4 linked regions of the Neodiprion lecontei genome follow. The main gene of each other region encodes a partner of the protein of the gene in region 2 in a complex. Links are inferred from orthologs where the notes say so. Each region holds a gene or a part of one and is shown on either strand. Other genes may lie near its edges. The genes, in order: mediator of RNA polymerase II transcription subunit 7, mediator of RNA polymerase II transcription subunit 1, mediator of RNA polymerase II transcription subunit 21 and mediator of RNA polymerase II transcription subunit 9.

Region 1 (8,098 bases), on a different chromosome or scaffold from region 2:
TCTTCATCGCCCTGCTTCCCTATCCCATTATCAAATGAAAAGTTTCATGTTATCTGTAGTTTTGTGAATATATCTTTATTATTATCCTAATAAAAACGATTTTTATTATTCATCAATAACTGTTATTTCACTTTTTTACTTTTTCCATTTACAAGAAAAATTGAGTTGAAAATAAGTGATAGACGATAGTATTACGGAATAAGGTGAAGAACATACTATATTCATATTTTATTATTGACATTTATTTTGATTAATGATACATTAATAGACCATCACTACATCGTGGAGAAACAATAATTATTTCATTTAACTAAGGCAATAAATTAAGCTACAAAACCGTATAGCAAACAATCTTCAAGGGCTAATTGTCAGCATCACCACTTATAACAAAACTAAAATCTAGACATCAAGTGCAGTTTCTATTAATTTTAGTTAAACTTTTATCAGCTAGGTATCAATCTTGCTGGCAGATTATTTAGTAGGGTGTGTATTACGTTCTTAAAAAAGTAGTTTCTTTGAGCTACGACACGTGGCGAAGCGTGCAATATTTTGCTACTAAATAGACCACCTGGACAGCTACTATTGGTAGAAATTTTTGTTATCGTAACATTGACGAATCTTCTCTATTAAATAATCACTGAAATCTTGTCTATTCTATCTTGTAGTTGATATCAGAAATAATGTAGTTGCTCTGGAAATACAAATTTGTCGCTGCTGCTGCTCGAGTCTTAAGTTAACTTCTGTCATGTCCGTATTTGTAGCAAGTTTGCAATTTATCTTCAAGGTATCCGCTAGTATCTTATTCAGTGTAATAAACTGTACTGGAACTTGGCAGCTGAACACTAGTTTTATCAATTTGAGTCAAAGTGTTATTTGCCATGTAAATTAAATTGATCTGAGTTAGTCCAGCGAATACATTATTTGGGAGAGTGTGAATTCTGTTATTGGACAAAAATATTTCTTCAACCAAGACGAGGCCCTCAAATGCAGCGGGCTGAATCTCAGAAATTTCGTTGTGCTCAAGATGTAAGATCTTCAAATCACTCAGGCCTTTAAAAGCACGGGAATGGATGGTTGCAATTTTGTTGTGATTTGCATACAATCTCTTCAACTCCGGCAATCTTCCAAATGTCTCTTGCGGAAGTGACGTTAGGCTGTTATCGTTAACATATAAAGTTTCAAGCTTCGTTAAACCGGTGAAAGTGTTGGGTTTTATTTCTGTTATTTTGTTGTAGTCCAAATGAAGACGGTTTAATTCCTTGAGATTTGCAAAAGACCCTGAAGCAACGGTAGCTATTTTGTTATTATCTAGCCACAAATACAACAGCTGTGGGAGTCCAGTAAACATGTTTGGCTTTATCTCCGGAATATCGTTTTGGTTGAGATAGAGCCACATTACTTTCGATAGTCCGGTAAACGTCCCTGCCGGTATATTGTTGATCTTGTTATAAATCAAGGACAATGACTCTAGCTGAGATAGTTCTTGAAATAGATTAGGAATCAGGGTGACAACATTGTTATCCAAATGGAGGCGGGTCAATTTTGGTAGGCCGGTAAATGCTCCGGACTGTAGAATTGAGATGTGGTTTCCTTGATACAAATATAAATTTGTTATCGTCAGGTCTTTGAAGGCGCCGGGCTTGATTGACAGCAAATTTAAATCACTGATTTCCAATCTGTCTTCGTTCCTCTGCTGTGTAACACTACTTAAAACACCTCGAAAATGACACACAGTAAAGCCATCGTGACTCGTGCATGTCTGCTCTGTTTCAGCTGTTACGAGAGCCACAAGAACGTGGACCAGCAACGCGTAACGTAACATGACTAAACTCTGTACTGTTCATTTGCATAACAGCAGACAATTTATATTGGCTCATCTTTAAGTTATCGTTTGAACTTTGCTACTGTTATCAGACAGTGTGAACTCAGTTGTTGTGGAGTTTATTACCAGGAGAAGTGTATTTTTAACGTAAAATGTACTGGAAATATAAGATAAATCAAACGTGCAATAGATATATTTCAAAGAATTGTGACGCGTTAGGAATTTCGAGAAATGATTATACATGAATGTTCCTTACTTTTAAAAAACAGTTCCAGGTATTTATGAGATGCAGAAAGGTTTTTAACACTTTTTTTTTACAAATCGTTACATAATAAATGTTTCGAAATACTTTGTCCCCATGTCTCGATCAAGTATTTCTTTGAGTATCGTTATCTACTAATTTATATCAACTGATTCATTACATAGCATTATGAAACCGTTCAAGAACGTGGGGCTGTTCGGCTCAAAATTGTTTTGAACTGTCCCGTTTTTCTACACTCAGCTACAGGTTTCCATGTTACGTTTAGCGCTGTGAATCTATGTCATCATTCAGATGAAATCTACCTTGATTAATGATCAATAATTCATCTTATTGTTATGACATCCCTAATAATAGTATTTCTAGGAGATATTTTTTCACAACTTCGTACTGAAATTCATTTTTATTCACTTCTTTGGAGAATACGTAGTTCCATTTTAATCCTTCATTTCTTAATAATGATTACTGGACTATTTCCAAGTCAGTCAAATATACAAATGATAAGTACAGTAAATCGCAGAGCCATGCGCCCGTATTCAGAGTATTTTAATTTTAATCGCTGTCCAGCACAGTAATAAATAATATTTAAAATATTAATTATATTATGTATAAAACGATATGCAGTAATAATCATTGTAGAAACTCACACGCGTCTAGACAAATTCACTAATAATTGTTCCTTATATCTAAGCTCACTATAAACCAGTTTTTCAACAGCGTTGAAGTATAAAAATTATTTCATTCAACCAAGGTAGCAAGATGCAATTCAAGCCAGCATGTTTATTTTTACTTTCGTAATTTTACGTGACGAAAACTAAAAATTCAAGAATTAGAGGTACTGAAAACTCTTTTTAATTGCTGTTAAACAGTGTTTCTGACGCTGTTTTCAATAAATAAAACAGTTTTTATTTTATTGTTGGGATGAATTTTTGCTGATCCAGAATCAGTAAAGATTATTCGATGTGGTCATTTCGTCGATAATATTGCACATCATTCGGTCCCTTGGACAACACGGATCTGTAGCTTGTTGCTCTAGTCCCAAAGTATCCATAACTTCCATCGTATCTGTACTGACAGCAAGGCTTGAATCTAGCTCCGAGGTGTCAGGCAGCATCTGCAATGCATGCTGCAATATTTCCTGCACCTAGAGAGAAAGAATTGAAAGAAATTTTAGTCAGTGATATTAGAAGAAACCAAATGTGATGAAAGATAAACCAATGACACGTATAGCATACTTTGTCTAAATGTTTTTGAAATCGCAGAGTGGTTTCTGTCCGCTGTCTACGCTGGAGCTCCATCATAACACGAAGAGTTTCTCTAGCCTGATGCGGCCTAAACTCATTAAGCAAGTGGTGAATATGGATGAACAAAAGGCTCAAGTCCTCGACCTGAAAATACGTCAGGAAAAACCATGAGATTCTTTATTACCGTCAATAACTCCTGGTGTTAAATGTCTCAAGTATGAAGAAAATCAAGGACACACCTTCTCCGCTCTCCTCGGACTGTCGGGACACTGTACCAGCAGATCTATAAGGTCTAAAAAATTGACCAGAAGAGAGTGATTGAGTTTCTTGAGCTCACGACGCCGGTCAAAATGCTGGGGATAAAGCCTCTTGATCCCCTGCGCTTCCAGCGGCCTTATGATGGTGTCGTCGGCGTTGAACATGTTCCCGAACATGGAATAGTTCTCATGATTAGCCGGGGGAGGACGGGGAGCTCTTCCTCTACGCACGTTCTCATCGGTGTACAAGTTGATGTACTGAGTAGGCGGCATGGGCAGCGAGCTGACCTGCGTCGCTTCCGGAGTCGCCATGGTTTAATAAAATAATATCAACGGCGTAGTCGTAAGATTTTATTCCTGTAAAAGAAAAGAGAAGGAACTGAAACGAGTCAGAGGAATTTAAACGTCAGATGAAAAAAAGATGGGTCATGTTAGGCTAGGTTATAACCACGATATCAGCCTCGGTTTAACACCATCAATCGGAGGGTGAAGATAGGCGAGGTGGATCTACTCACGCCATGAAATACGAGTAAAGCAGTGGAAGGCTCGTCGACGAGGCAGTCACTGTGTTTTCAGCGTCTAACAACGCGAGTCGTCACAGCAGAGGAAAAAACAAAAGCAGCGCGGCGGTTAGTGTTCGCCATTTTGTTTTGTTTACATGCCTGCGTAGCGCCGAACATGGAAGATGCCTGGGAATGTTAAATGTTTACGCTTTTTCAAAGTTCATCCAGTTACCTACACAGCGACGTTATTCGACCGTCGGAAAAGCGTCGCTTGCCTCTCGGTGTCGCGGTTGAAACAACTCGGGATTAAATCGCGCTGCCCGAATGTCGAAGTGTAAAATATTCAGACAAGTGGATAAGTGACCAATACAAAACAGTTGAACATCGATGTGTCTCATGACTAACGCCGTAGCGCATTTCCTGTTATCTCGTGAATTTCCGACCGTCTTGCCTAGCCGTCGCTTCGCCCGCGACCGTTTGACAGGTTACCTCCCCCCTCTCCGTACCGCCCGCCGCTAAGCCTCTCTCTGTGTTCCTTTGCATCCACGTGAATTTTTTTTTTCGCATTATACCCCTAACCGAATCCGGCGGGCAGCCACGTTCTCGAGACCGATGCATCGTCTGGCTGTGTGACAAACCGGTGCTGTGAATGGTAAGAGTACTGTGTTGACTACCGATAGTCTTTATTTTATTGTTACACGGTTTCCCGGCTATTTCGACGTCGGCCGAGGCGATTCCGAGGAACTCGGCACCCAAAACGTCAGTATTTTATAACCGCAAATTCCGTGCGCCTTTCCCTATCGCCTATTTTCGAACTGAGCTTCGGTTTCGTTATCAGTACCGTACCCGGTTTAGCTACGCGATGTTCTCGACGCTTTTATACTTTTACTCTATTCCTATTATCGTTCGTAAACCGACTGCATTGTAAAATAATCGCCTCGATTGTTGTACCTGAGCAATTGATGGAATGCAGTGTTTGTAAACAACGAAAAATGAGCCATGCATCGACCATCTCGAAACGGTTTCCTGTTCACAATTTACACACATATTCGATATCAGTTTTACTCCTCTCTTTTATCTGATGGCGTGCCAACAGTTGGTCTCTGTTCATCTTTTCCCTACTTCCCTGTCATCAGCTGTTCAAATTTGTTGAATCCACCATCCGTCAAACACACATTCTTCTTTCAATCAGCTCTCATCCGCCATTCTATTCTCTTCTATTCAACTTCTCGCTATCTTCTTTGTCTTCATATTTTCTCTTCTTCTTTCTTACGCTGTGAACCGAACTACCGAAACTTGTACTCTGCGAATCGGATTTTCTCTTTGTTTCTCCCTTTCTCGACAAGAAGCTCCAACTTTTCTTACTTTCAGATCAACAGATATGTCTAGTAATATTTGAAACACACTGTAGCTATCGCTGGACTGTGATAAATGTCGCAATACTATTTAAATTTTCTTTATAACGCCCAGAATAAGCTTGAAAGAAAAAGAAGTAATATAACGATTACAAAATATCGTCCACTTTCTCAAAAATACATTTCATTAATTTGATGTTTTGCATTTTACAGGGTTTTCTTTTCAGGGATGACGGGGAAGGATGGGAAGGCGGAGGCTAAAGGCGTGGATGGTGTTGTTAAGACAGGATTTATGACAAAGCGCTCTCAAAACAAGAAACGATTTACGCCGATCAACTACAAGCAGCGATGGTTCGTCCTCACCAGGCAATACCTTATATACTATGACAGCGACAGCGAGGTAAGCGAGACGAATCACTTGTTGACACATTTCTTTGATAGATTTCGAGTCGACAGGTCACGCCTGAAATTTCATTACACGACGCGTATTTACATGGCAATTGCTCAGCTGTTGAACAAAATATTATTATTTCTGATCTTCATTCTGTGATCGAATTTGACCAGGTTTCCATTCGCAGGTGCTTGTTATATCTAAGAAATGATTGTTTTTTTTGGAAACTTTTCAAATGAGTATAAACGTATTCTGGAATTGCGGATATCCAGAGATTGCAAAAGTAATCTGCGACCCGGATCAAAAATGAAAATTCGCCGACATATAAGCGTCAGATTATTCATATCCAACTTTGTTGCTGTTGTTATTTTTTTTTTTGGTTATTACAAACCACTCTTTTTTTTCACAACAAGTTTACTAATGGTAGAGACGAATTTCATTCGTACATACATAGGACCTTGTAAAAAAAAGTGTAAATCGTGTAAATTATTCGCAAGGAATTAACAAAGACAATAATAATAATAACGGTGTACAGTAACGAGAAAAATCGATAAATAATAATTTGAAGTTGATCGAACATTTTGAAGTAAAATTACCGTCAAATTCCATGGTATAGAAATTTTGAAATTACACGCATAAGCGATAAAAGCATATTCTTACGCAGGCAACGATGAGTATAACAGCTTGCTACTGTAATCTTTATGCAAACAGGAAATGTGCGGTTCATTAGCGAAGATTACGAACGGAAAAAGAGAGAAAATGTCAGACATCGACTGACATTCATTGACCAAGGCACGAGTTCCACTCGTGTCGGAAATCCTTCATCCGAATCACCGAATGCGAAATCCTAATCAATCGTATAATCGACATTTTTATTTACCCTCCTAAGATCATCGAATTGAGAATAAAGATTTTTTAGTAATGTGCAAGTATTTTAGAGAAGTACGCGATCTCGTGTTAAAGCCTTAAAATCGACTGTTGCGTTTTTTAATAACGTTGACTGAAGATGTGATGCGATAATTCATTGTCTTAAGGGATGCTATTCTCTTGTTGAACTGTATACAGGATGCATCGACGATAGAAAGGATACAGAATTTTCAAAGATGGGAATATCCGATTCGTACGAGAATTATGAAAATGTAGAAAGTGGACGTACAGAAAGAGAAAATATAGAAATGTCAAAACATAGAACAGCTAAATCTAATGTCTGTGTACGATTATACATTTTGGCATTCTATATTCTCTACATTTTTTCACATCTCCATACAGGGACTTTGTACATTTTTAAATCGTGTAAATTAAATTTTCTCCTAGTTTGAAATTCTATATTGTGGCCCTTCCGTGTTTTGATCTTTCTGTTTTCTTATCCCCCGCCAAACTCGTGACAATATTTACGCATCTGTAATTCGTATTAGCTATACAGCTGTATATATCGAAGCGTGCCGCGTAAAAGTGCAAGGCGGTCGCGATATCACGTGTACCTAATAATAATTAGGGGTGCAAAAGGGGCGCAGGCGCCTCCCGCAGAGGGTCGTCGAATACGTCGGCGCCGATCTCCCGATGCCCCTTGGTAAGGCGGTTATTTCCTAGCGGAGAATCAGTCGGTTGTCAGCTACAATTCGATGCGAAACCTCTTCTCTCGCCGCATATTGAACCCTGCGTTGCGTAATCGGAACAAAATTTGAAACACAGCGCGGGCCGGTTTTCCGTGTATCGTCTTCGGAAACGTGCGTCGTGACGAGCCGCGTTTCGCGGTTTTCCTTTAATTTCTCATTTGTTGATTCATTTTTTTTTCTTTCATCTCTATCGTCCTCGTGAATTAACGCATGTGCGAGAAAGAAGACGGAAAAATATTTCAATAGTTAATCCTGGAATTGACATAAAAAAAAAAGAAATCATTCTGCAACATCTCCTTGAGTCTACGTAGCGTTTGCATCCGTGCGGATAAAACTAAACTGTTGTTTGATCAGGTCGCGGTGTGCTTCTGGATAATTAGCTCAAGAAAAGAATTTTTATATTCGTTTCCTTCTTTTCCCCTCTAATTTCATAAAAAAAAAAAAAAAAAAAAAAACCAAGAAGAAATTAAAAAATAATTCTCCGAAAGTCGAAAATCTTTGTTTTTGCATTCACGTGCGGTGAAGGTACATATTCTTCAAGTTTGACTCATCAATCCTCTTCCTCGTCTTCCGTCTTTTCGATAGTTATTATATACATACGTTTCGCGGTGTTATCGGAAAAAATATTTCCTAGACTTCTTCTTCGGCTGC
Region 2 (8,994 bases):
TTACACCTGCCGATATTCCTTTCAACAGTGCTAGACGTTTCTCAATTCATAACTAAACCATGACCAGCTATTGGAAAACAACATCAATCTAATTCATCAAGAGATACACAAATTTTTGCACCTTCTTATGAAATAAATCATCTCTGACAATCTTTACACAATTAAAAATAACATTTGTTCTTGCCCAACTAAGAATGAAGAATTTCATAATATCAGATAAACAAGTAGTTTGTAAAATATGTGACAGTAAACTCAAATCTAGTACAATGTAAAACCATGTCCTCATTCTGTGCTTATGATTTTAGCTCTTGTCGGCAGTATCACCCAATGGAATAGAACAGATGCAAGAAAATCGTGTATCGCCAAGGTGTTCAGAACATGAGTTTAGAACGAATCATTAAGGAACTGGCTCAGGATGCATTATGCTATGAGGGCAACTGGCGAGCCTGCCCCTGGCGGGGCGCACCTCCTCGGTATTGTTGTATAGCTACTAGGGCCTGCTTTGCAGGAGAGGGGAAGATGGGAACCACTAATTAGTACATGCAAATAAAGGCGGACTTCTGCACTTTTATCATAATTGGAAACTGGAACACAGGGATAATATTAAAATACTAGCCTACTTCTTTGATCGTCAAACATCCTGAATCGACTTCGTAAGTTTTGCAGTGATGATTATTTATATTTAATTAAATCAGGGCTGGCAATAAGATAACTTTCAGAGAATTAAGAAAAAAAAAAAAACTATTTGATTTGGAACCGTGATCAATGGTGGCCAGAAAAAATTTCAGTTCAATCATGTACTAAAAAGTTTAGAACTAAAATGAAAAATTCAATTCCTAAACTTCTGTTAGAAATGATTAAAAAAGCTGAAGAATAAATAGCACAGTTTATAAATTGATTAAATTGAGGTCCAAAGATCTCATCAAACTGTTTCGAAATAGTGTCTTTTGCCACCAAGAGTGGCATTAAATTGCTAAAAATTGATGACTATGATGCAAAGAAGTAGATATAGCAAGCATTTACAATACCAAAGAGATTGAATAACAGGTATACGTATATCTATGCAATTCTTACTACCAATTTAGTTTTGGCTTTAAAATGAGATCTGTTTCTTCACTCTATGAAAATTCTACAACCTCATTATTAGCATGGGTAGGTAACAAACGCGTAGGTAATTCCATACTGAAGTTGCAGGTAGTGGAATATGATTCTAGAAAAAAATACTTTCCAAGATTTTTGCAAAAGATTTCAAATATTCCAAGTATTCAATTACAGCTTGTCCAATCAGTCTTTCAACCTGTGTTCCTGTACAAACTTAAAACAAACCAAATAAAAGAGAAGTAGATAAGGAAAAAAAACAAGCCTACACCGTGAAATTTTGAACTTTACATTGTCAAATAATAAATAATATTGCATTGAATCTACGATACTTTAAAGTGCATAATTTATCATACATCTATACTAATGTTCTCAAGGTATAATAAATATTGGTCGAAATACCTTGACATTTACGCATTTTAGATCTTTGCTAATAAATCATAATGTGATTGATGGTTTATTTTATTAGAAATTAGTTGAAGACTTGAGAAATGCACAACTCTGTGTATGTAATACTAAGTGATGATGAATACTAACAATAATAATTGAATTTTCAAGAGAAAAGATCTGCGATGTTAAAAAATTTAGAATATTGTATGTACATATATAATACAAACTTTGTCTATTCAATTGTTCAATTTGTGGTCCATGAGTTATAAAACGTACTTGTCCAAATGATACTTCACGCAATTTGATGAGCGTTTTAATCACATAAAATTTACAAATAGTGAAGTAAAAATTATTTTCATTGGTTTGGATTATCAGTATGGAAAAATGATTACCGTTGAATTCTGGTATCCTGGTCCAGAATTTATGTTTCCCGACTGTCCCCTTACTGGAATTTGAAAAGTTCCTAGCATTATTCAGGGTTACTTTTCTCTTTCGAATAATTGATTGCTTTGCAGCAAGTAATTACAAACGAATAAAAATCAATAACCACATAGGTACTGGATGGTATGTACAATAAATCAAAGGCTATTGTTGTCGGTTCTGTTTTAAGTCGTAACTATTATACAATCGGCTCTATACTCCGAGTTTGTATTTGAGTGACTAATTCGATAGAGAAGTATGAGCGTCGTCTCGAGCCCCGGCATTTACTCAAAAAGGAAAATTTAGCGTCATCCATTTTGTAGTATGCCGCTCAGATTCGGTAAAAATGAATTAACATAAATTGATTTACCATTTGGGTAATTTCCCTGACTATTTCTGCTCCTGGTGTACATTGCGGTATCAATGTTCAAAGGTTATTATTTAGTCGTAAACTATCCACAATAACTTGTCAAAAGACACAAATAACGTTACATCTAATTCCGATCACACAGATAATGGCGTTTTGTCGCAACCACAGCGTCAGTGACTGCAGTGACTATGGAGATTGTACAAGGAGCATGAACTCAAATGGGTGAATTGACCAAACTTGTCACACTAATCGTAAACGTTAGCTTCATGTTTTGTACCACTAGCGTCACTAGTGTTCCTGTAGCACCGAAATGTCATTAGTTGTAGAGATGCCCAAGATTGACTAATCGACGATCTTGCAATGTGATTCATCTACCTCGCTCACCGTTATGGTACTTATCGTATATTAATTGCTTCTTATTTTGGGAAACGATTTGTATACATGGAGTTCGTGCTCCTTGCACAGTCTCCGTGGCAGTGACTGCAAATGGTTGTAGAATGGCTATGATTGCCGATCAACGGAGAAGGGAAGTCGGGTAGTTGGATTTTGTCCAAATCATGTATAGTTAGATATCCGAAAGCACGTTCAGGAGCTCTTTCAACAATTACCGACGGTAATCTTCCAGTTTCAACAATATTTATTCGATGATAAGGTTTCGTTGATGCATGTATCTCTAAATATTGAAGTCCACGTGTCTCAAACGCAAAAAAGGATATGAATTTTACGAATTTACAGTGCCATTTATTTATTTCTCCGTCAAATGAAAACTTATTTGAGTGTTTCTCTGTTACTCGAGTTTAACACCTGTGCCATTTCTTTACACATATTTATGCACGTCGAAATCGACCAAGGGACCCCCTTAAAGATCACGCGAGGGGTCGATTGTCGCAGATGGCTATGTCGACCAATCAGCTGATTCGATAAAGATCGACGCGCGATGCGCAAAGGTGTACTGCTAAGGGGGCGCAAAGGTTAGGAAAGCGAGGTCTGCTGAGCTAAGTGGAGTGAAGCAGCAAACGAGCAAGATGCTGCCGTTGGAATGTAAAATGTGTTGACCTCGCGTGGATAGAGAAACGGTGTTTAAAGCGTATTATGGCATCCGTGTTATCCGGAAAAGGATACATGGATGCGGGGAACAATCAGAAGGGCCTTCGTAAGTATTTCCATCATATCTATGTTTTACGATCGACGGCTGATCCTATGCTGACCGAGATAGTACATGCGTGCGCTTTGGTGGGGGACACAAAATTCGTTGATTACGCTGATTGCTACGCTATTTCACGCACACGTTCAAACAATAACAAATTCGCGTGATCCTATCCACTCATTTTCAACCAACATAAAACGTGCTCGTTTAGCAAAAACCCCAGCTGACGCTGTGTTTATCTGCCAAGAGTTGTGCATAATTTTCACTGACGCGTTTATTTATCAGTTATGCGTTGCTATGAGATAGACCCTTGTTACACAACCAGTCGTATAAATTTATGCCGGCATCATTATTGTCATTGTCTATCAATTGTGCTGGTTTTATCACACGCGCCTCTTTAATTCAAATGGAAATCTTGCTGAAAATAAATTGAATTTTCCAGCAGCCCCCGGGGCTGTTGGCAGCCCGGCGGTGGACAAGGGAAAAGAATGGCAAATGGAGCTGCTGATGGAGAAGCTTCGTTCAAAGGCTGCTTCTTTTAAATCCTTTGTCGAAATTGCTAAGAATCTGCGGATGGCCATGCTGGTAGGTTTAATTGAGCTCGATATTAACTGTTTAAGAAGGAGCCTTAGTCTCTAAAGATTAATTTAAATATGTCTAACATATTTATAGGATAAACGATTCGCCCTTGACAGTGTTGAAAAAAATCAACTGCAAAAATGCCTCGATACTTTGCAACATTCCATAAAGGTCACGTCTTTGCAGTCCATGGTAGAACGACTAGAAAGTCTGACAAGGCAGTTAGGGTAAGTGGTTCTCCAAATCTTTCATATCATACCTTCAGATATGTTTAACCCGTGCGAAATGTACCCAATGTGCAGCTATTCAGACATTTTATACTCATCGTATCTTGAATGTTTTATTGCAGACTTAAATTCATGTTGGGGACTTCTGGTACACAACTGTTTATATCATCGGATATGTTTTATCTAGAAGTTCTTTTGGAATCAACTGGTGCTGTCAAAGATGTCAAAATTCATCATGAAGGGAAAAACGAGCAGCAGGTACGAATTTGTTTGAGTAATTAAAAATTTTATGACACATCTTAATGGAAAAGAGTTATCTGAACTAGATCTAACGCTAACAAGAGTAATAAAAAGAAATATAATTTGACAGAGTTGCAAAGAGTTGGTCACCTGTTTGTCCCGAGGAGATTTTGTTGACTTTACGGCTCAACTGGAAGGATTGGCCTCTATCTATCAGCTGAATGCTGAAAAAAAGGTCAAATGCAAAGCTTTCAGTGCTTTGCAGTCCCTCGAAGCAGACTTGGGTACCATAGCCCATTTGCAAACCTTTATGAAGGAACATTTCAATATTGTACACAAAAGCCCAGTTGGTTAGTATTTATTTTATTATTTACCAATTCTTATACTAGATTAAATAACCTGTTTGTTAATTCAGGAATTTTGGAGAAGAGAAAAGGAGGCCACGCGATGAAACTAATTTATTTTGTTTCACCATACGACCTAATTGACCAGGGAAATCGGAACTATGAAATCCTCAGCTCTGAAGCTATTGTCTCCCGAAAAATTGGCCATTCTGTCACAGTGTGTATGGAAGGTTCAACAGCTCATAAGCTACCGACCTCCAATATCATTACTATTAATCGAACACCGTCTGGAAAAAGGTTAGACTATTTTAGAGATATAGTTTTCATGCCAATAGCGATTACATCACTGTCTCGGCTAATACCTAGTTCAACAAATTTTCCACGTGCGTTGAATTTAACTTAACACTTGATTTTCTTCCTCATTCTGTAGCACCCCTTCATACGCTATATTAACTGGAGCAAACTCTTCAATGTTACCTGCTTGTTTCACTTTGAAATTGGCGAAAAAGATGCCACTGTGCCTGGAATTAGTTCACAGAATACAAAAAGTCACGGAACTAGAATGTGGTGATATTTCATCCCCACATCCATTATTAAGTCTGGTAGTACAACACGCAAGCGACGGTCGACTGGATTGTCATAATAACAAAGGCCTTTTTGTGGTAAGTTCCAAATTACCCGTAGTCGAATAGATTTTTTGTGAAATCGTAAAACTTTCGCGAAACTCGTCATTACTCGTGAATATTATCCATTTTACATGTTATGCCGTGTTCATCCAGTATTTTATTAACAGACATTGCCGGATCAGCAGCATTGCTACTTCATGACAGAAAACCGGAATATGGAAGGGGTGCTGGTCAGCAGCATCCCGTTTACGCATCCTGCCCACGTTCCCCAGATCCTGGTGTACCTCAGGCAGCAGGCACTTTTCAATTCGTTACTTGCAAGCTGCGTTAGACCCATGGCACGGCAAGACCCTGAACACACGGTGATGTTTGAGGTCAGTGCTTTGTCTTGGCAACATCTTTCGGTCAGCCTTGAGCACCCCTTTGAAGAAACAATGGCGACAGCAGAACTCGATCTGTCGGACATATCAAACTTGAAATGTAAATTATACGGAGTTAGCATGAGCAACAGTGAGTCTTCGTCAGAACTGGCTGGTAAAGTGTTGCAGAAATGCCTTAGCATCCCCGTAACAATGAGAACGTTGATAAAGACTTGGGAGGGTAGGAATCCTGCTAATTCTAACGCAATGAATAGCAATGGCGGTAATTATAATGTTAATCTTGGTCCTGGCAGAGACCAGAATGGACACAATGGTACAGGTATGCCAGATTTCACCAGTGGAGATGTAAAGATCAAACAGGAACCGGGATTGAACGGTAGCGGAGGTATCGGTAGGCAACAATCGTCGCAGCAGTCTTTTTTAGAAGCCGGAACGGAGAATAGTATCGGTTTTCCGTCTTTTTCCGGCCATTCCGATACAACCACTGCTATGTTGAATCCTCTGCAACTTGGGGCGCTTCTTGGTCAAGCTAAAAACTCTGCAGGTTTGATTAATCCGTTAGTAGAGCGACCTTCTAAGAAAGCGAGAAAAAGAAAAACAGCTGACGGGTTATGGAGAAGTCCGAAGAGGAAAGGTGAGGAGATGAGTGAAATCCTCTTGGAAAGTTCTAGTTCTGATTCGACACCTTTAGGCACACCTACTAGTAGAGATAATCCAAACGAGCTTAGAACTCCGACACCAACTTCGGCTGCTAGTCTTGCAAGTGGTCTTGATTTGTGTAATCTAGACCATGCTGATATTTTAGGAACTGATAAAAGCTCAGATTACGACATGGAGAATGAAAGTGAAATCGTTGAAGTTCACGACTTGCAAGATGTTGAGGAACTATTGAAGCGAGAGAGAAAGTCTAAGAAACGCGAAGACAAGAAGAGCCCTAATTTATTTGAGGACAATAAAAATTTGGTTCCACCGTCAGTTAGTATAACGCCTATTTCCAGCAGCGGAATTGCACAATCATCAAATTATAATTCTGTATTGACAGGAATGGGGCTAGAAAGGCGACCCGGCATTGAGATTATACCTATAGCTTCGTCTCCGCAAACTAGCCTTCCTAGCTCGATCACCATCACACCAATTGCCGGTCCGGCTTCAAAAAACTTGACAGATGAGCGTAGGGACAGGAAGAGTTCAAAAAATAAGACAGAGGATAAAAATAAACTAGAGAAGAAGAGAAAACGGAAGAGAGAAGACAGTCCTATGGGACCTCCGGACAAGCTACCGTTGAAGCCAGATCCTCTGTCAAAACCTGTTTCGGTGAGTATTAAACCTACCGAATCTCCTCCAAATCTGACAACAAGACCTTCGTCACCTGCAGCTACGCTCAGAAAATTTAGTCCGTCTCCTACGCATACTAGTCCGTTAGCTCTTGTTGGAAAGTCGAGCCCTACCCTAAAGCAACCTGTTAACAAACCAATACAAAGTCCCAAACATTCACCTGTTTACAATAGCCCTAAACATACGACGATACCGGCGAGTGTCAGCCCAAAACATGGTACTTCATCGCCAAAACACGGGAGCTCAGCCAGTGCCGGAAAACCCAGCATGTCAGCTTTAAAATCTGCAGCTAATTCACCATCAAGCAAGAATAGCGACGGTATGCCAAAAGCAAAGTCTTCTAATAAAGATTCGAATAGAGATAAAGAGAGGAAAACATCCTCTCTGACTTTTAGCGGGTCCGGACACCAGAGTCCAAAATTGAAATCATCTAGCGCAAAGTTAAAACAATTGGATTTAAATCCAAACGCTGAGACTCCTCCGTCTCTGCCGAGCAGTGGAGGCAGCACGCCTCCGTCAGGTGGTTCGGATATTGGAAAATCAGCTACTGCTCAACAACAAGCAAGGAATAGAAAAGGCTCACTTAGTGCTGTTATTGACAAACTTAAGAATGCCCAACATTGTACAGAAGATGGTAACGGCGGGTCTAAGGGTAGTCAAAAGGACCGAGTTAGTTCTAATAAAGTTGGTGAGGGTAAAAGCGGTAGCAAGACACCTGTGGATACTAAAAATCCAGCTGAATACATGGTAAAACATAGTTCTGAAATGAAAATCACGATCAATAAAAAAGGAACAAAAGACTCTAAGTCTAGTCCTAATCTAAAATCTTCATCAGGATCTTCATCCAGCTCCGGCAACGGGTCACCAAAGACTCACACTGGTCTTAAACCAGGAGTGAATTCAGGCCCTGCGTCTAAGAAACCACAGCAACAAGTCCCCCTGAAATTGCCGGGCAGTTCAGGATCTGGGAACAGCGGCAATAAAGCAAATCTTGCCAGTCAAAAAGTGCCTTCTGTTCAAAAATCCGCTTCTGGATCTAACTCAGGATCGGGTGGTTTACTAGCAAAGGGTGTTTCAGCAAAGTCGTCTGGTTCCCCCAAAATGAATAGCTCAGGTGCAACGGATCTGAGTCGCAACAGGGACAAACCAAGGCCACCAAAATCTGGGGAGAAGAATATATTTGGTTCTAAAGGTTCAGACATTAGAAAAACTTCAAGCCCATCTGCGTTGCGGGAAGAGAGCGAGAGCGAAAGAGCCTTTAAACTATTGGCAGCACATGCATCAATGTCAAATCTACCTAATCTACCGCCTCAGCTTGTTGTCGAGGGACTGATGAAACAACTGGATACTAAATTTCAAATACCAAAATTGTCCGCGCGTGCTAACACAGACGTGGATAAGAAACCAGCAGACAAACTCACGTCATCAGATACTAGTAATAATAGAACTGACGTAAGCAAACTGTTAGATAGTAAACCAGATTCTACGAAAACCCAAGCTGTTTCTCTGTCAAATGCAAAGCCGACAGATGATAGAAGAGAGGTTCAATCAAAGCCGGACAACTTGTGCACAGCTTTAATGCCTGCTAATATTGGAAACAGCAGTCCAAGCTTGATTATGCCGCCGCCCACCGTCAGTCCTCATGATTCTGACGTACCGACTAACTTGTCTATGCAGCCAGCAGACACGGAATCCAGAGAGATTAAAGATATCGCTAACAGACCGTCGCAGTTTCTTAACTGCGCTCCATTGAATCCTGCCAGCAAAGATGACGCTGTATCAAAAACTGATCCCATATCGACACAAAAATCTTATCCTCTAACAAACAGCGGTACTGA
Region 3 (7,267 bases), on a different chromosome or scaffold from region 2:
ATAGGTGTAGTATTCGTCCCATATTGAGAAGTTAATATCACTTGCCGCTGATTATGTTAGACTTTGTAAAATTACAATGCCGAAAGTTTTTTCAAGTCAGTACGTAATTTTCGCAGTGAATTTATCCACAAGAAATAACAGTCAATAATTCAACCAACTAGGCACATTAAGAGGAGAGGACACCCATCTTTTCAAATACGCACGCCTTAGTGTTATGGGAGCGATAAATCGATTTTTTTGCAAAGAATACGATTGTGATAAAATGAGAATTATAAAAAAAAATATTAATCGCTTTGGAATTTTTTTTTCTGCCAAATTTGAGTATTGTAAAATCCATCTGCAGAAGTTTAAAGAACACAGATTTACATTTGGTAAAAAATACAAGACTCAGAAAAACAATTTTTACCATTTTTGAAGCATGTTTTTCGAAAAAAGAAAATCCTTTTCAGCTTGAATAGTACTCTAAAGATCTATTTTCATAAGATTTGACGATACTCCAATTTGGTTGCGGAAAAAAAAATTCGAAAAGGGTTAAATTTTTTTTTTTTGTTTCAATCATTTTCTCTTTATCTCCAACGAATTCCACGCAAAAAACAGCACAAGAAATAAATTTACCGTCCCTCTAACACTAAGACGTCATGTACCTGAAAAGTTAGGTGTTGAACAGATAAATTGAAGCTCACGTTTCAATAACCGCATTTGAAACATTTTCAAACTGGCATCTCACGGTTGGATCACGGACAGGATACGTGGTATTGTAAAAATATGGACCCCACAACCAACTTTTTTCTTCTCTATTTGTCATGACAAAATAATAACAGCCAGTAAATATATCGATAAATGTACCATTAGCAGGCACACCTTTCTGAAATAGAAAGATATGTTGAAAGAAAAACAAAATACAAACCAAAGAACCTAAGATCTTGTACTAATGACTTGTTGTCTACAATGAGCGTTTAAATTAATATCGACTGTTACATATACAGCTACTCAACCTAAATTACCCACTTTTATAGACAATGATGAGTCCTTTTTGTTAGGCATATTTTGCAACAGATTAAAATCTTTTCTAGGATCACAAGGACATTCCTTTTTATTCTTCACATGTGGTTTCGCTAGTAGAGTAAGTTTGAAATTTTCTCGTGGCTTTGATACCTTCCAATCAATTCCTTAAGACAAATATAAAAATAACAAATTTTATCACTATATGAGATGAAACATGTCAATAGTGAATCATTAATCAAGATATAATTCGTATATTCGCCAATACGAGTGGCAATTATCTACTAAAAAAAATGTCTTACCAGTAAAATCAGGAAAATCTTGGAATAGTGTGGACCGTTGGTGTTGAAGCCAACTAGGTGGCTGAGATGTCTTGGATTCATAGTCACACTGATTATTTAGGCTCGGCTTTGCCAAACTGAATTGATTGTCAATTTTAAGATTCACACACTTACGATGTGGTGGACTGAAGTTCCACTCTCGCCAAGTCTAAAACAAGTAATCACGTCTGTACAGAAATATTTATAAATTTGGTCGTTACAGCTGTTGGCAAAAACGAATTACGGAAAAATATTTCACATCCCTGACAACCTATTAGATGCAGTATGAAATTGATTTGACCATAATTTATATACCCGATATCATGATAAATTACTGAAAAGTAGAAATACTAGAGAACTATACTGCATCTGAAAATTGTCATCTTGTGACACAACTATTGGATATAAACTTAGTAAATAGAATTTATAAATTAAAATGTAAATAATACGTTATTTTGTCCGGTTTCGTTGCCGCATTCTACATCGACGCACAAACGAAGAATTATCCAAAAAATCCAAATAAAAATAGTCAAATTTCTCTCACTCATGTTTCCTTCACGTCGGAACAGCAACTGAACCTTCAGAACTGTATCGTACTGAATATTTATCATTTTTCCGCCAACGACTACGAGGAAATTCATGGTGTACAATGAAACCTGGTTTGTCCGACCTTCGATCAACCAAGTTTCACAATATGAGGCAACGGACTTATTCGAACACTGTAACATCGAGGTGTGTGATCGAATACAGTACGCATATGCCGTACGTGCGAAGTATTTTGCGATTGCTACTTTGTTGCTTATATGTAGCAACAATGCTTTGTTCCCCAGAGATTGATCTACGTTCCTTAGAGTTTCACTTTCATGTACCTTTGTGTTTAAATTTCATTCTACCATATCAAATTCGTAAAAAATCATTCAAATCTTCACATTTTTCATTTCTTCCGTGTTATGCCAGTTTTCGCTTATCCGAGATACCTCCTCCCCACGTTACCTCGGATAAACGAGGTTTTTCTCTACGGTGAAATTTCAGGACTAGAAATATTGTCCGTTATTGAGGAGTGTCCGATATTCAGAACAATATTAACGTGTAAATCATGCTTCTGGAAATTTTTAGATATTTTTACGACATTTCGGTACGTTGTAAAACGAGTTGGGTTTAGGCGCGCGGAATATATCTAATTTTGGAACGGACGTTATGAAATAAAAAAATAGGATATACGTATATCGAATTGCTTCACCGGTATCAGCTCCAGATTATGGAGATTTTTTTATCCAGATAAGGTCGGCGTTTTTTGGATTTCAACCTTCTTAAATCTTCTTTATACACAAACAAAAAAAGAAAAACAAGAAGTAGAATGAGATCATTGGTTTTGAGAATCGAACACCAGATATCATTTTTCATACATCCGTTCCGAAATGTCGTACGTGTGTTAGCACGCATATGATCGACATGTGTACGTGCTGAAGTCAACGTCAAGTCAATGGACCACGGCGGTGAGGCAGGGAAGCCGATAATATTTCGAGAGCCAGACATAAACATTGAGATTAAACGGGTGACGAATCGAATGCGGTGGGTCTAGAGAGCGGGTGTCAAAGGGACATTACGCAACGACGCCTCGGAGAGTTCACACCGATTGAATACCGTGCATATCGAGCATTACTATACTTACGCGGTTGCAAAGCTTCAATATACTTGTATTCACACATTTAACGTAGAATTTTAAGAAGTATTCCATTGAATATTACAATGTACATTTAATACGATTGACATTGTAATGTATTCGAAAGATAGCTTCGTTATCCTATATATATTATTTCCTACAGTGCAAAGTGTGTCAAAGACGATGGGGAATTTTTTGTTTTACATGTTCACGCAAAACTTCGACGATAAATCAAAAGAACTGGTATTTGGGCTTGTGGTCTCATTTTCATTTTTGAAAGACGCTAATCAATATCTCGATATACAGGAAACTCGATTATAGGTTATAAAGTAAGAATTTCAATTAATAAACTGTAAACAAGTTGTAAATTGAACATTTGATCGTACCCATGATCGCGCCATATGAGGCATGCCGATAATAGAAGATTCGTATTCAACGCGTACACGTGATCCGTCACTGCTTTATTAGCATTCCTATTGGTCAAGAAGTCGGCAGCAAAATGCTGTGATTGCTTCGTGGTATTTTCCTGCTCGTGAAAACCTAGTCTAGATCAACGCCAACGAGAAGTGAATACGAAAATGTAGTAAGCAGTGTACATGCGTTTTACTGTTTTAATTATGTTTCATAAGGCTCTCTCTGCCAAACTCTAACAATAAACCAAATCTGACACCCGTTGAAAACGCGTTCTCACTGGGCACTGGCGGGAAGGCGAAAAACGAAACTGTCAGGATCATGGTGGCAGTGTGGTGCTGCGTCGGTAAGTATGTGACTTATAATATCGATATATGCGTCGTACAGATTGTCGTGAGAATGGTGATAGTGACAGCAGCGCAACACGAGCTGATATAGTCAAAAGTCAAGAGTAACGAGATATGATGTGATAATGTACGTAAATTTACTTCAAAAAACAAAATATGCATCTGCTACATCTGGTTGATTATTAAACTTGTGTACTTCCTCTCTGGCAATACCATTGCGTTTGGAAAAGTCCGTTGTTGATATTAGGTGCATCGCAAAAATGGCGGATCGTCTAACCCAATTGCAAGACACCATAAATCAAGTAAGCTTGCCGTAAAATCAATTAGCCGGCAAACTCATCACGATAATTCGATATTATTATCCTTACAGCAAGCTGAACACTTCTGCAACAGTGTTGGGATCTTGCAACAATATTCTATGCCTACTAAATTTCCGGGATTTGATAGAATTGGAACGCCACAACCTCATCAGACACAGGAAGGTGAGTTTCAGTAATCATTGTTTGTGATCATTCAGTTCACAAAGCATATTTTGGTTTGACTTTTTTAGAATATGCGACTCTATTTGCTACGCTGATCGCCCGATGCGCCAAAGATATTGATACATTGATAGAAAGCCTTCCGAGTGAAGATTCTTCTCAGGAACTTCAAGTAGCTAGTCTGAGCAGACTTGAACAAGAAAATCAAGATGCTGCGGAACAGCTAGAAGAAACTGTCAGACAGGGTGAAGCTTTGCTTCAAAGAATTCAAGCAGCCCTCCAAGACATTGCGCAGAGTCAGCTGGACATGCAAAATCCTGCTGCTCCCACAATTATCAATACAAATTTAAATCCTCATATTAATTTTAAACAGGAAAACTTTGGTACTATCAATACAATTCCTTCAAGTAATTCACATCAACCACCAGATCCATCGCCGAACTCTATGAGCCAGTGATATGAATTTTGTCCGATTTACATTTAAGAAACTTTAGCCATTATCAAATAAACATTTTTCTAAATGCCTAAGCAGAGCTTATTCATTCTAGACATATCTTTTAAGAGAGAAATCTCTCAAGAGAAGCAGTATCATTAAACAGATCGCTAACTAAAAAAATCTTGGTGACTAATGTCACAAGATTGGAAAAGAAAAATATAGATACATGTTCATAAAGTTCTGTAAATTCATTCAGGTAAAAATGGTTAGATAATTTACTAGAGTTTCATGATCAAAATGTTCGGCAACAAGAAATAAATTTCGAATAAAACATACCATTTTCCATTGGCTTTTTATAAAATGTTTACATGGGACTTTATTTACAAAAATATGAGAAGGGTGTGGTTGATTGAAGGGGGATGAACAGTAAGGTGACAAGAAATTAATTGAGCGTACCCCGACATTGGGGTGCGCCACACAGACACGGAATTTTATCATCCTCCAACGGAAACTTATAATCATAAGTAATTTCTTCGTTCACACCAATTGGTTGCTTGCTGTAGATCACAATCTTCTTCTGGCTTTCAATTGTTATTACTTTAGCATAACAATTCGGCTGTAACAAATCATTTACCATTATATTGCTTTGCAATAATTTAGAACTGAAGATAGTAGAAAAGCAAATTGAATTCCAAAGTCTTAAAGACTTAATCATCCATAAAGTGTCAACTATTCAAGCGAATACACTTAAAAATTAGGTATAGTTCAAGTAACAAATTGAACTCACGTTGCAGCTGTGATTAATGAATCTTGCCAAGTTACCACATTTCGTCGCATCGATAATAGTGTCAAGATCAATACGAAACAGATAAGAGCTACCAATGCCTGTAGCCTCGTACTGAGTTTCACGTAGATCTGCGACCACTGGTCTCACCATCTGTCCAACATATTCTATCACCATTTCATCAGCAGCGATTGGTTCCATTGCGAAAAGACCCCAATCGTGAATACCGGATTTGGCGAATTTCAGTTGCTTCTTTCGGAACTAAGTAATAAGAAAGCCATTCAAAACTGAGTCACAATGTTCCACATAAAATACATGATAATCTGATTGACAGATGTAATGATACTCCAATCAATATTACCTTGAGCTGATTGAACTTCAGTAAATCACTGTCAGTGTCAATGCCAAAAGCTGTTAATAACCGCCGCTGATTACTTCTCGCCTCCCGTGATAAGGCCTGCATTTTTCCAGTTAATGCCTTAGCCTTTGTTTTTGGGCCATTCATTGTGCCGTCACCACCCAAATATGGTCCAGTACTATCCTCTATGTCATTACTGCGCTGTATGCTTTGAGCATAGTGATGCTAAAAATGAGAAAATAAAACAAAGATAACATAACTTTCTCTGCAAGAAATATAGTAACACAAACTTACTTTGTGTTTGGCTTTTTCGCGTATATCAACTTTGTAGTAGCCTTCTGTCCGAGCGCTTCCTGTAGAATGTAATCGTAACTCGTCTCGTTTTTTCCTTTTAGCAGGACTTGGAATATCCGTTGCAGGATGGTCAACCCAATGGGTGTCATTCAGCCAGTATCCTTGGTTGTCATCTGCCAGCAAAGCTTCGTAGCTTCTCCTCAAATATTCAACATCTTCTGCATCTATTCCTTTTGTTAGAAATTCATAAAGCACTCCCATTTCGCTCATTAGATCCCGTTCCTTGTACGTTTTAAGTGGTTCCTCGAACTTTCGTGGTAACGGTTCATACGCGAACTCATTTTCGATGTTTTCTTTCTCTTTTTCATGGTTTTGGTGTGTATGGAGTTTGGAATATTTGGGATATTTCTTTTTAGCAGTCTTATCAGACTTCTCTTTCAGTTTCTCCAATTTTGGTGGCTTCGTAAGTTTCGGTTTAACAGGTACAGGTAGACTGGAAACTCGGGAATCGGATATGGAAGGTTGTGGTGGTGCTGGCGGAAGTGAATACGAGTGCTCCATGTAAACTTGAGATGCCTGAGAGCCAGGAGAACTTGGACTGTGCTGACCATTCAGACGCAAATCTGTCTCTGCTTGGAATCTATTAAAAAAAAAAAAAGAATGCATCATGGTGATGAACACAATGAATTGATCAAAAGACAGGGCTATCCGTTTGGCCAAAAAACATTGAAATAACTTCTGTAGCTCGATTAGAAAAAAATAACTATAACTTAAATACTGCAAATTTAGTATTGCACATTGATTTCATTAATCTGTTAGTATTTCATTTTTAACAACATACCGTATCCTCCTTATTTCCAGGCTTTCCTCTTCCGAATCTGTCGTAGGTATTTCACTGAACATATCAATTTTCTCAGAATCTTTCAATATCGGTTCATTGTTTATGTATTTATCCGGCAATGTTTGTAGAGTTCGGATAATATTTGGTTGTAAAGGACCTGGACTCTTGTGTCTTATGATATTGTCTTGTCCAGCCAAAGCCATAAGTGCCTCAGCAGCAGAACTTTCCATTTTCTGAATGTCTCGATTTTCCTCTTTAATTGGCGACGTAGTAACAATTTCTGGCTTAACTGTCTTCTGGGGTTGTACCGGCAATTCGGGTCTCGATTTGTC
Region 4 (7,324 bases), on a different chromosome or scaffold from region 2:
ATATAAATATGTATTTAAAATCCGAACACAAAAAAGTTTGAAATATTCGAGGCACATGTAGCAAAATTTTAGTAATTATATTCCAGTTTTGTCATATTAAAGATATACATTACATATCTACTTTTTTTGAATAGACTATCTGTATGCAAAATTTTTCCAACAGATATAAAATTGCAATCCGAATTGTTTATCAAACGAAAACACAGTCTTACAACTGCGTGTTTCTCAGTTTAAAATCTAAGAATAACATACTCCGAACCTATCCAGGAAAAAGACACCCCATCTCTGTAAACCATCTATAGTGTTCCACTCGATCATTGAATCGATATATTAGTTCGTTTTGTTGTACTGAGCAGTTTCTTACATAGTTCCATTACTCCTAAAGAATAATTTTTAATTGCCGAATTTCAGGAAAGTATGTTTGTGTTTTCCAGACATGTTACGCAAACAGTTGAGGTGAGAGTAAAATCTGTATATATATTTTTTGACATTTCCAGACATTGGCTGAATTACGTCGAAAGTATATCCGTGAATAATATGTATTGATTTCACATCTCCTTTACTGCTATAGCATCATTAGATATGGGGTGAAAACAGCTGTTTTTGGTATCAATGCAGGCTTCAATTACTTTTTTCTGTTCACTGTAAGTTACTTCTTTTGCGCTTGTCCTGACTGTATAATTTAAAGATGAAACTGTGTTTCTATATGTATATTACACATGTAAGGGCTATGAGTTTAATACTTTGTAATTCATTGTACTATTTTTCAAATGATTGAATAGGTGGTCGAGAATGCTTGTTAGACAGATGATTTTCTTTGACTGATTATGATGTTAATATTAATATTACTATATAGATAGTAGAAATTTTAGAAGATAAGATTGATCTATGGGTTGGATTTCTAATGTTGATTCTTTGTGAAAGTATTCAATATTCATATAAAGTATTAACAATAATCACGTGTGCTACATTAGGTTTCATCTGCCCAATTTGTTACAACGGATAAAACTCTAAGAATACTGTAAACGTACGTACTGTATTATGCAACTTATAATTTCGATACTTTATCGAACTAACAAGATAATTTTCAAAGAAGTTGATTTTCATGTTCAGTAAAACTGGACTGATCTTAATACTCGTAATTCTGGTGTTTTTCTTGTTGTAATATCAAATAAATGCCATATAATACAATCTGAAATTGGAAATAACTTCTCTTTTTACATCGTAGTTCACTGGTGACTTATATTTCCTATATTTTGTGGCAGAATAATCCTTGCTGGATTTAAAAGAAGAATTTTTTTTCACAGCTGGTTAATTTCTGCAAGAGGCTTTAGTAAAGTTTGATAAAAATATACAAATATGATGCAAATTCACTTTTATATGAGTAAAATTACATTGGATAATCCAAACGGATTATAAATGTTGTAATCTAGTCTAAAAACAATTAAATTTGAAACATTTTCCACAAACTACAAAGTCTGCTCACAATTGGCTGTAGATACTATCAACGCAATATAAAAAGTTAATTTACTTGGTAAGCCGATTGATGCCAAATGATATTGAAGAATTCACAAGTATGCTTATTATTTTGTAGGTTTCTCTAAAAATTTGACTTACAAATTTGTATGTATTTTTGTGGGTACACGTTTGTCGCTGCCTCTGCCGTATATAAACGTTGGATGCATATAGGTAAAGTGCAAGAAAATTAAGAATAACAAGTGATTTATGAATAATGTAGAACAAACTAAAAGTCGAGCAGCAGGTTTGGGTATACTAGTTATAAGAAGGATACATACTCTAAGAGCACTCAGTCCTCCAAATGAAAGTAAACATAGGAAAAAGAAGGCGTTACTTTCTTCTTGATATATCATAAGGCTCAGAATTAATGTTATGAGATGAGAATACAAGGCATAGCCCAACAACCCAACTAAATCCCAGAATACCATACTTGCGCGTGCCAATTTACATAGCACAAAACCTAGACAGGGATTCACAACAATATATAGCAGTACTGAAGTTACAGGAGCCATAGTTAAATCTGTAGCCGACGGCTCTTTAATCCTATATCCGTAATTTAGAATTGCAATTAAAATTAAGACTGCTAGGAGGGGTCCTACTAGATCTATATTTTCAATTCTAAATTTCTTGTTACAAGGAGGTCCGAGGGAAGCTATAATCCGTCTTCCAATATCGTAGGGTGTAACTTTCATATAACGATTGACAAACGAAACATGGCCATCAACTTTAACGCAATATTGTTTGGAATCTGTAGGCACCAATATAACGGCTGATCCTTTGTACGCCATGGTAAACCAATGGGAAATATTAAGCTATTAAATCTAATTCACAATTCAGAAAAAAAAAAAACTGATTCATCGAAGTCTTTGAGATGGATAACTAATCGCAGGAGAGTAATTTGGTTACGTTAGAATATATGTTATTTAGATTGTTTCTTTTCCTGATCCTTCTTAGCGTCTGCAATTCCTTCTTTGAGATTAGATGAGAAACGCGATAATAAACTTGCCCATTGCTTGCCAAGCTCCTGTGGACTGGATGGTATACCGTGCTGGGAAGAACGTTGCATAAAATAAACAACCAGCTGAGCAGCTCGTCTTATAGGTTTTGAATCTGCTAATTTGTTGATGAGCTGTTCGTTGTTGGCCAAGTATCGCATAAGAAAACGCAGAACCATAATGAATTATAGTATGAAAGTCTAATTATTTATACTTTGGGTACGTCGAATGTACACATATTACGATACTTGAGTAGTAGTTCTCGCTTCAACTTGAGCTGCCTGCGAAGTGTTTCTAGCTTCTGTAATTGCTCCTCTTTGCTATATTCTATCCCAGGCAATTTTTTTATCTAAAAGCAATGGGTTTCAGTTTATTAAATTACAGAGAACGAATATTTAGTCATGCTAAGCATGATTATCGTCGAGTATACACACCTGTGATCGTGCAGAGTCCAATTTTTTTTGTAAATCTAGTATTTTGTGACTCGTATCCTGAGAGTCCTTAGCTTTTTGGGTGTTGTCATGAGGATCTTTTTCCACGCTATGTGGAACAAATCAAAATTTTGTTGCATTACATAACTAGTTTGATGAGACAAATTAGCTGTACATTTAATAAGGTAAATTCTTGTTCATACGTAATCCTGTAAAACTCCAACGTCACGATCTAATGTTCGCAGAGCAAGTGAATAAAATTAGAATATCAATTTGAGAAATTGAGCAATCATGTACCTTGTGTTAATAATTTTGATACGCAATCATATGAGCTATAAATAATTTGACAAACGTGGCAGACAATGGGGAGTGCTTTCGCAACTTTCTATCTATAATAACTTGAAAAAATGGAGTACTATTTTTGGCATGTCAATTTCAAAGGGTATTGCTAGTGTTAACAAGAAAATAAATTAAACCCACATACCTTCGGATTATTTCGTAAACAAGCGGTAGAATTTCTATGTCTAGATCGTCGACTGTGAACTGACTTCGAGCAGGCGCTTCCTCTGCTATCTCAACAACTTCCATCATATTTTCACCGCAATTTTTTTCGGCATCTTCTGCTTTTTCGACACTAATTTTTTCTTCTTTCGTAGACAGTTTAAATGAATTTATCTACACACGTTCTTTATCACGCGAACTGGTCGTTCAAAGCATTTAGCACACCACGAAGGTTTGACAAAATTTTACGGTACTGTCAGAAACAGAAGCCGGAAAAATCAAGTTTTGTAGATGGAGCGATGGCAAGGAGCTTAACATCTAGCTTGTAAAGTTAGACATAGAATGGACGTAATCGTTAGTATAGTCTATGGTGTTGCACCGCGAATGCCGGAAGTAGCTCCTGGACATTTGACCAGAAAATTGATTTCCGTCACTTTCATTTGGGCTATCAAGGGTAGTAGGTATGTATCGCGAATGCTGTTTTATATCTCTGATAATCCGAGGAATCCTACACAACGGCAATTAATTAGTCTTACTGAACGAAATTAGGTTAATTTACCAATTGTTAAGAGTGATAGTTTTTTCGATAAATAATTGTGGTGTTTATATTTTCAGTCCAAAATGGGACGCCGGCCAGCGAGGTGGTAAGTCGTCATGACTCGCATTTTCTAATTTAGGAAAAAAAGAAATAATCGAAAAGAGAAATAATTGTGGTACCTTTATTCCTGACCAACGATTGCTTTAATTGACTCGAGCTACGAATTAATCCGAGGCTCTAACAAAATTCCCTTTTTTGTGTCAACGCAGGTGTATGCCAAGCTTCGAAGTGCACTGTTCTGTATTTAACCCATTACTGCCGCTTCATTTACTCACTTATTTTGAAGTTCTCTGTAATTGTCGCGAAAATTTTGCTAATTAGAATTGCAGTTCCAGACCATTAGTCAACTGTAGAGAATTTTGTGGAACTGAAAGTTCGACATGATGGTAACGTAACCTCGTTAACACTGGTGTCTAACCTGTTTCGCAATATGTATCATTTAATTTATAATTTATACAATCAGATGTCATTGTTGCAATACGCTTTGAGATAAAGGTTTGGGAATCTAAGTGCTGTGTAAATATGTTATAAATCAAATACTGATGAGAATTTTTGTTTAATTACAGTTATCGCTACTGCAAGAACAAACCATATCCTAAGTCTCGTTTCTGTCGGGGTGTCCCTGACCCAAAGATTCGTATCTTTGACTTGGGAAAGAAGAAGGCATGTGTCGAAGACTTTCCACTCTGCGTTCATTTGGTTTCTGACGAATATGAACAGCTTAGCTCAGAAGCTCTAGAAGCAGGTCGTATTTGCTGCAACAAATACATGGTCAAAAATGCTGGCAAAGATCAGTTCCACATTAGGATGCGACTCCACCCTTTCCACGTCATTCGCATCAACAAAATGTTGTCATGCGCTGGAGCTGATAGGTAAATTACGTGAACAATAGTAACTCATTTATCCAACAACGGAATATTATCTACTTAGATGGAAAATTAATGCTACAAATTTGTTCAACTATCTAGGCTCCAAACTGGGATGAGAGGAGCCTTTGGTAAGCCTCAAGGTACTGTTGCTCGTGTCCGAATCGGGCAGCCGATCATGAGTGTGCGCTCATCGGACCGTCACAAGGCGGTAGTTATCGAGGCTCTACGGCGTGCCAAGTTCAAGTTCCCTGGTCGTCAAAAGATCTACGTTTCTAAGAAGTGGGGATTTACCAAGTACGAACGTGCCGAATACGAAGATCTGAAGGTAGCTGGTCGTCTTGCCCAAGATGGTTGCAATGTCAAATATCTTCCAGAGCACGGACCCCTAGACGCGTGGAAGAAGTTCAGAGAAAGCCTGGCCAGTGCCTAATCTGAGCCAAACACTTCTGTAAATGTGGTCTCAATAAATTTTATTCCGACTAATTAAAATTGTGCGTCTTTTACTATTATACCTCGTTATGTTGCAGGAAGATGCATGCTATAAGTTCAGTATCAATTCCAGATCTTTTTTTGCCAATTTACCATTTCCATGGTGAATATTACAAAGTTCGCTTTTATAATAGATCCATTGTTACAGGTATGAGTATTCTACAGATGTAGCAGATGATCATCTGTTCGGAGTTCATAATAAAATAGGTATAATGTGAAAAGGATGGTGCTGTGATTTTAAGAATTTATTTTACAAATGATTAGAACGCCATATCCTACGTAACTCATTACAAATCAGTAACGTCATAGAAAATAAAAGTTGAGTGAGATTACGCGTCCATAAAGTTGTCAATTGTAAATTATGTACAGGAATATATTTAACAAAAAATATCCAAAAATTGGAAATATAGTTCACTAAAATACTTTGTTAGTAAAATGATTAGAAAGTACCTAATTACCTAATTAAAATTTGAAAAATACAATATTAAGGGAATGTATGGCCCAATTTTATAACACAACTGTTCAAGCTGCCCTAGGCTACCTGCATTTAACTTTGAAAGTTAAAAGAATACATCTGACAGATAAATTGCACTTTGAAACTTTTTTGCCAACGAAAGATGTAGGTATCATTATTGTTCGACTGTTTAACGAGTTTGTGGTAACAAGTTTTAAACTTAGTGTAAATTTTTCTCATTAGTACGATCCACGTTCTTCACACTTCCGTTTTCTACTTGCAATTCGTCATCGATATCCAAATCATCTATAGGCTCTATGTTATGCATCGGATGAAGACTGGTATCCAATGCTTCTGTACTTGTAACTGCGTCCAATAAAGGAGATAGTTTCTCTGCTTCACTATCATCATCTTGTCCCTGAAAACGTTGACGAAATTATTTGAGAAATGAATCTCTCAGTTTGTTAGCAGCAAAACAACTACTTTACCTCATCGATAGCAGTTGATTGCTTCTCATTAACGAGTCTTAATGTGTCTCTTGTACGAAGGGCCGTTTTGTCACGTGGACGACTAATTACTTTGGCTCGTGCAACTGGAGAACGACTGCGAAGATCTTTTTGAGAACCAGAAATTTCATCCCTTGCAAGTAGAACAGACATTCGGAACTCGGGTGTTGCACAAGGCATACCACTAGTTCTTGGTGACTTCTCCGTATCTTTTGGAGATGCATGTTTCGAAACTGGCGTACGCTCAGCTGATCTAAAAAAAGTTCTTGTTTCTACCATCCTACTATGATCTACAATCTATACAATTTAACCCTTTAAGATTACACCTTTGATTCATGGATATACAAGTTTGAGCTTGGAACCCCATCCTATTCTTCGTTCTCATACAAGTTTGATAAGTTTTACGCGTCAGTCACCAAGAAAAAGTGATAAATTACCATTAGATTATCGTTTTCTTATCAAGTAACCTAATATTAGGGTTAGTTTTAAGAAAATATTTTCTTTTTGTACACGTGCATTATTGTTGTAATGAACATTATTTTAAGATGCAGTTAAAGGGTTAAATGTGTTAGACATGGAATGTTCATGATTTTAGAGATGCGTGGAGTTTTGTTAGAGGCATGTGAGGGTGAAAGCAGTAAAGGACGGTTATTTGAATTTCAATAATGGCTAGAAAATAGTATATTAAAATCTTCATCATTTTACTGACATACCGATTTAAAATTTCAGCAGCTTGAATAGCACTGGCTGTGTCTGTGTCAGGAGTATCCAGGGACTCAATTGGTAGGACCGTTGCTCTTGGTGTATAAGGGCCATTCAAAGCTTCTATGAGCGATACTGCCTCATAGCCAGGTGGTATATTTTCACAACTACCCTGGAAAGTAGTTTAAGAATCGAATTTATTTGCTGGTTTACGAAGAGAAGTGAATTAGTCAGAACTGGCTTCCATCATACAGACTAATG

What was found.
Region 1: mediator of RNA polymerase II transcription subunit 1 (region 2) and mediator of RNA polymerase II transcription subunit 7 share a complex: the UniProt entries of both Drosophila melanogaster proteins name them as parts of the mediator complex. The link is inferred for Neodiprion lecontei from reciprocal best matches to the Drosophila melanogaster genes MED1 and MED7.
Region 3: mediator of RNA polymerase II transcription subunit 1 (region 2) and mediator of RNA polymerase II transcription subunit 21 share a complex: the UniProt entries of both Drosophila melanogaster proteins name them as parts of the mediator complex. The link is inferred for Neodiprion lecontei from reciprocal best matches to the Drosophila melanogaster genes MED1 and MED21.
Region 4: mediator of RNA polymerase II transcription subunit 1 (region 2) and mediator of RNA polymerase II transcription subunit 9 share a complex: the UniProt entries of both Drosophila melanogaster proteins name them as parts of the mediator complex. The link is inferred for Neodiprion lecontei from reciprocal best matches to the Drosophila melanogaster genes MED1 and MED9.

The regions. Positions count from the first base shown.
Region 1 is NC_060265.1:6,394,680-6,402,777, forward strand, and holds mediator of RNA polymerase II transcription subunit 7, read right to left. Parts: upstream 4,455-8,098; 5' UTR 4,056-4,454; intron 3,940-4,055; 5' UTR 3,895-3,939; coding exon 3,565-3,894; intron 3,470-3,564; coding exon 3,317-3,469; intron 3,226-3,316; coding exon 3,025-3,225; 3' UTR 2,466-3,024; downstream 1-2,465. Other genes in the region: leucine-rich repeat-containing protein 15, read right to left, coding at 800-1,822; tyrosine-protein kinase Btk29A, read left to right, coding at 5,670-5,840. UniProt on the Drosophila melanogaster protein: Component of the Mediator complex, a coactivator involved in the regulated transcription of nearly all RNA polymerase II-dependent genes.
Region 2 is NC_060263.1:3,100,143-3,109,136, reverse strand, and holds the start of mediator of RNA polymerase II transcription subunit 1, read left to right. Parts: upstream 1-3,216; 5' UTR 3,217-3,370; coding exon 3,371-3,431; intron 3,432-3,867; coding exon 3,868-4,010; intron 4,011-4,097; coding exon 4,098-4,231; intron 4,232-4,353; coding exon 4,354-4,489; intron 4,490-4,601; coding exon 4,602-4,821; intron 4,822-4,886; coding exon 4,887-5,112; intron 5,113-5,245; coding exon 5,246-5,477; intron 5,478-5,608; coding exon 5,609-8,994. Other genes in the region: mediator of RNA polymerase II transcription subunit 15, read right to left, coding at 1,881-1,933, 2,279-2,321. UniProt on the Drosophila melanogaster protein: Component of the Mediator complex, a coactivator involved in the regulated transcription of nearly all RNA polymerase II-dependent genes.
Region 3 is NC_060262.1:34,977,455-34,984,721, forward strand, and holds mediator of RNA polymerase II transcription subunit 21, read left to right. Parts: upstream 1-3,781; 5' UTR 3,782-3,870; intron 3,871-3,973; 5' UTR 3,974-4,003; coding exon 4,004-4,045; intron 4,046-4,113; coding exon 4,114-4,225; intron 4,226-4,293; coding exon 4,294-4,679; 3' UTR 4,680-4,750; downstream 4,751-7,267. Other genes in the region: uncharacterized protein LOC107218980, read right to left, coding at 684-865, 1,009-1,169, 1,305-1,491, 1,772-2,050; histone-lysine N-methyltransferase SETD1, read right to left, coding at 5,101-5,274, 5,446-5,703, 5,804-6,025, 6,095-6,734, 6,936-7,267. UniProt on the Drosophila melanogaster protein: Component of the Mediator complex, a coactivator involved in the regulated transcription of nearly all RNA polymerase II-dependent genes.
Region 4 is NC_060264.1:6,102,872-6,110,195, forward strand, and holds mediator of RNA polymerase II transcription subunit 9, read right to left. Parts: upstream 3,730-7,324; 5' UTR 3,536-3,729; coding exon 3,429-3,535; intron 3,054-3,428; coding exon 2,948-3,053; intron 2,863-2,947; coding exon 2,722-2,862; 3' UTR 2,575-2,721; downstream 1-2,574. Other genes in the region: protein YIPF3-like, read right to left, coding at 1,614-2,306; 60S ribosomal protein L10, read left to right, coding at 4,067-4,089, 4,610-4,915, 5,012-5,342; probable E3 ubiquitin-protein ligase MGRN1, read right to left, coding at 6,076-6,273, 6,344-6,614, 7,075-7,235. UniProt on the Drosophila melanogaster protein: Component of the Mediator complex, a coactivator involved in the regulated transcription of nearly all RNA polymerase II-dependent genes.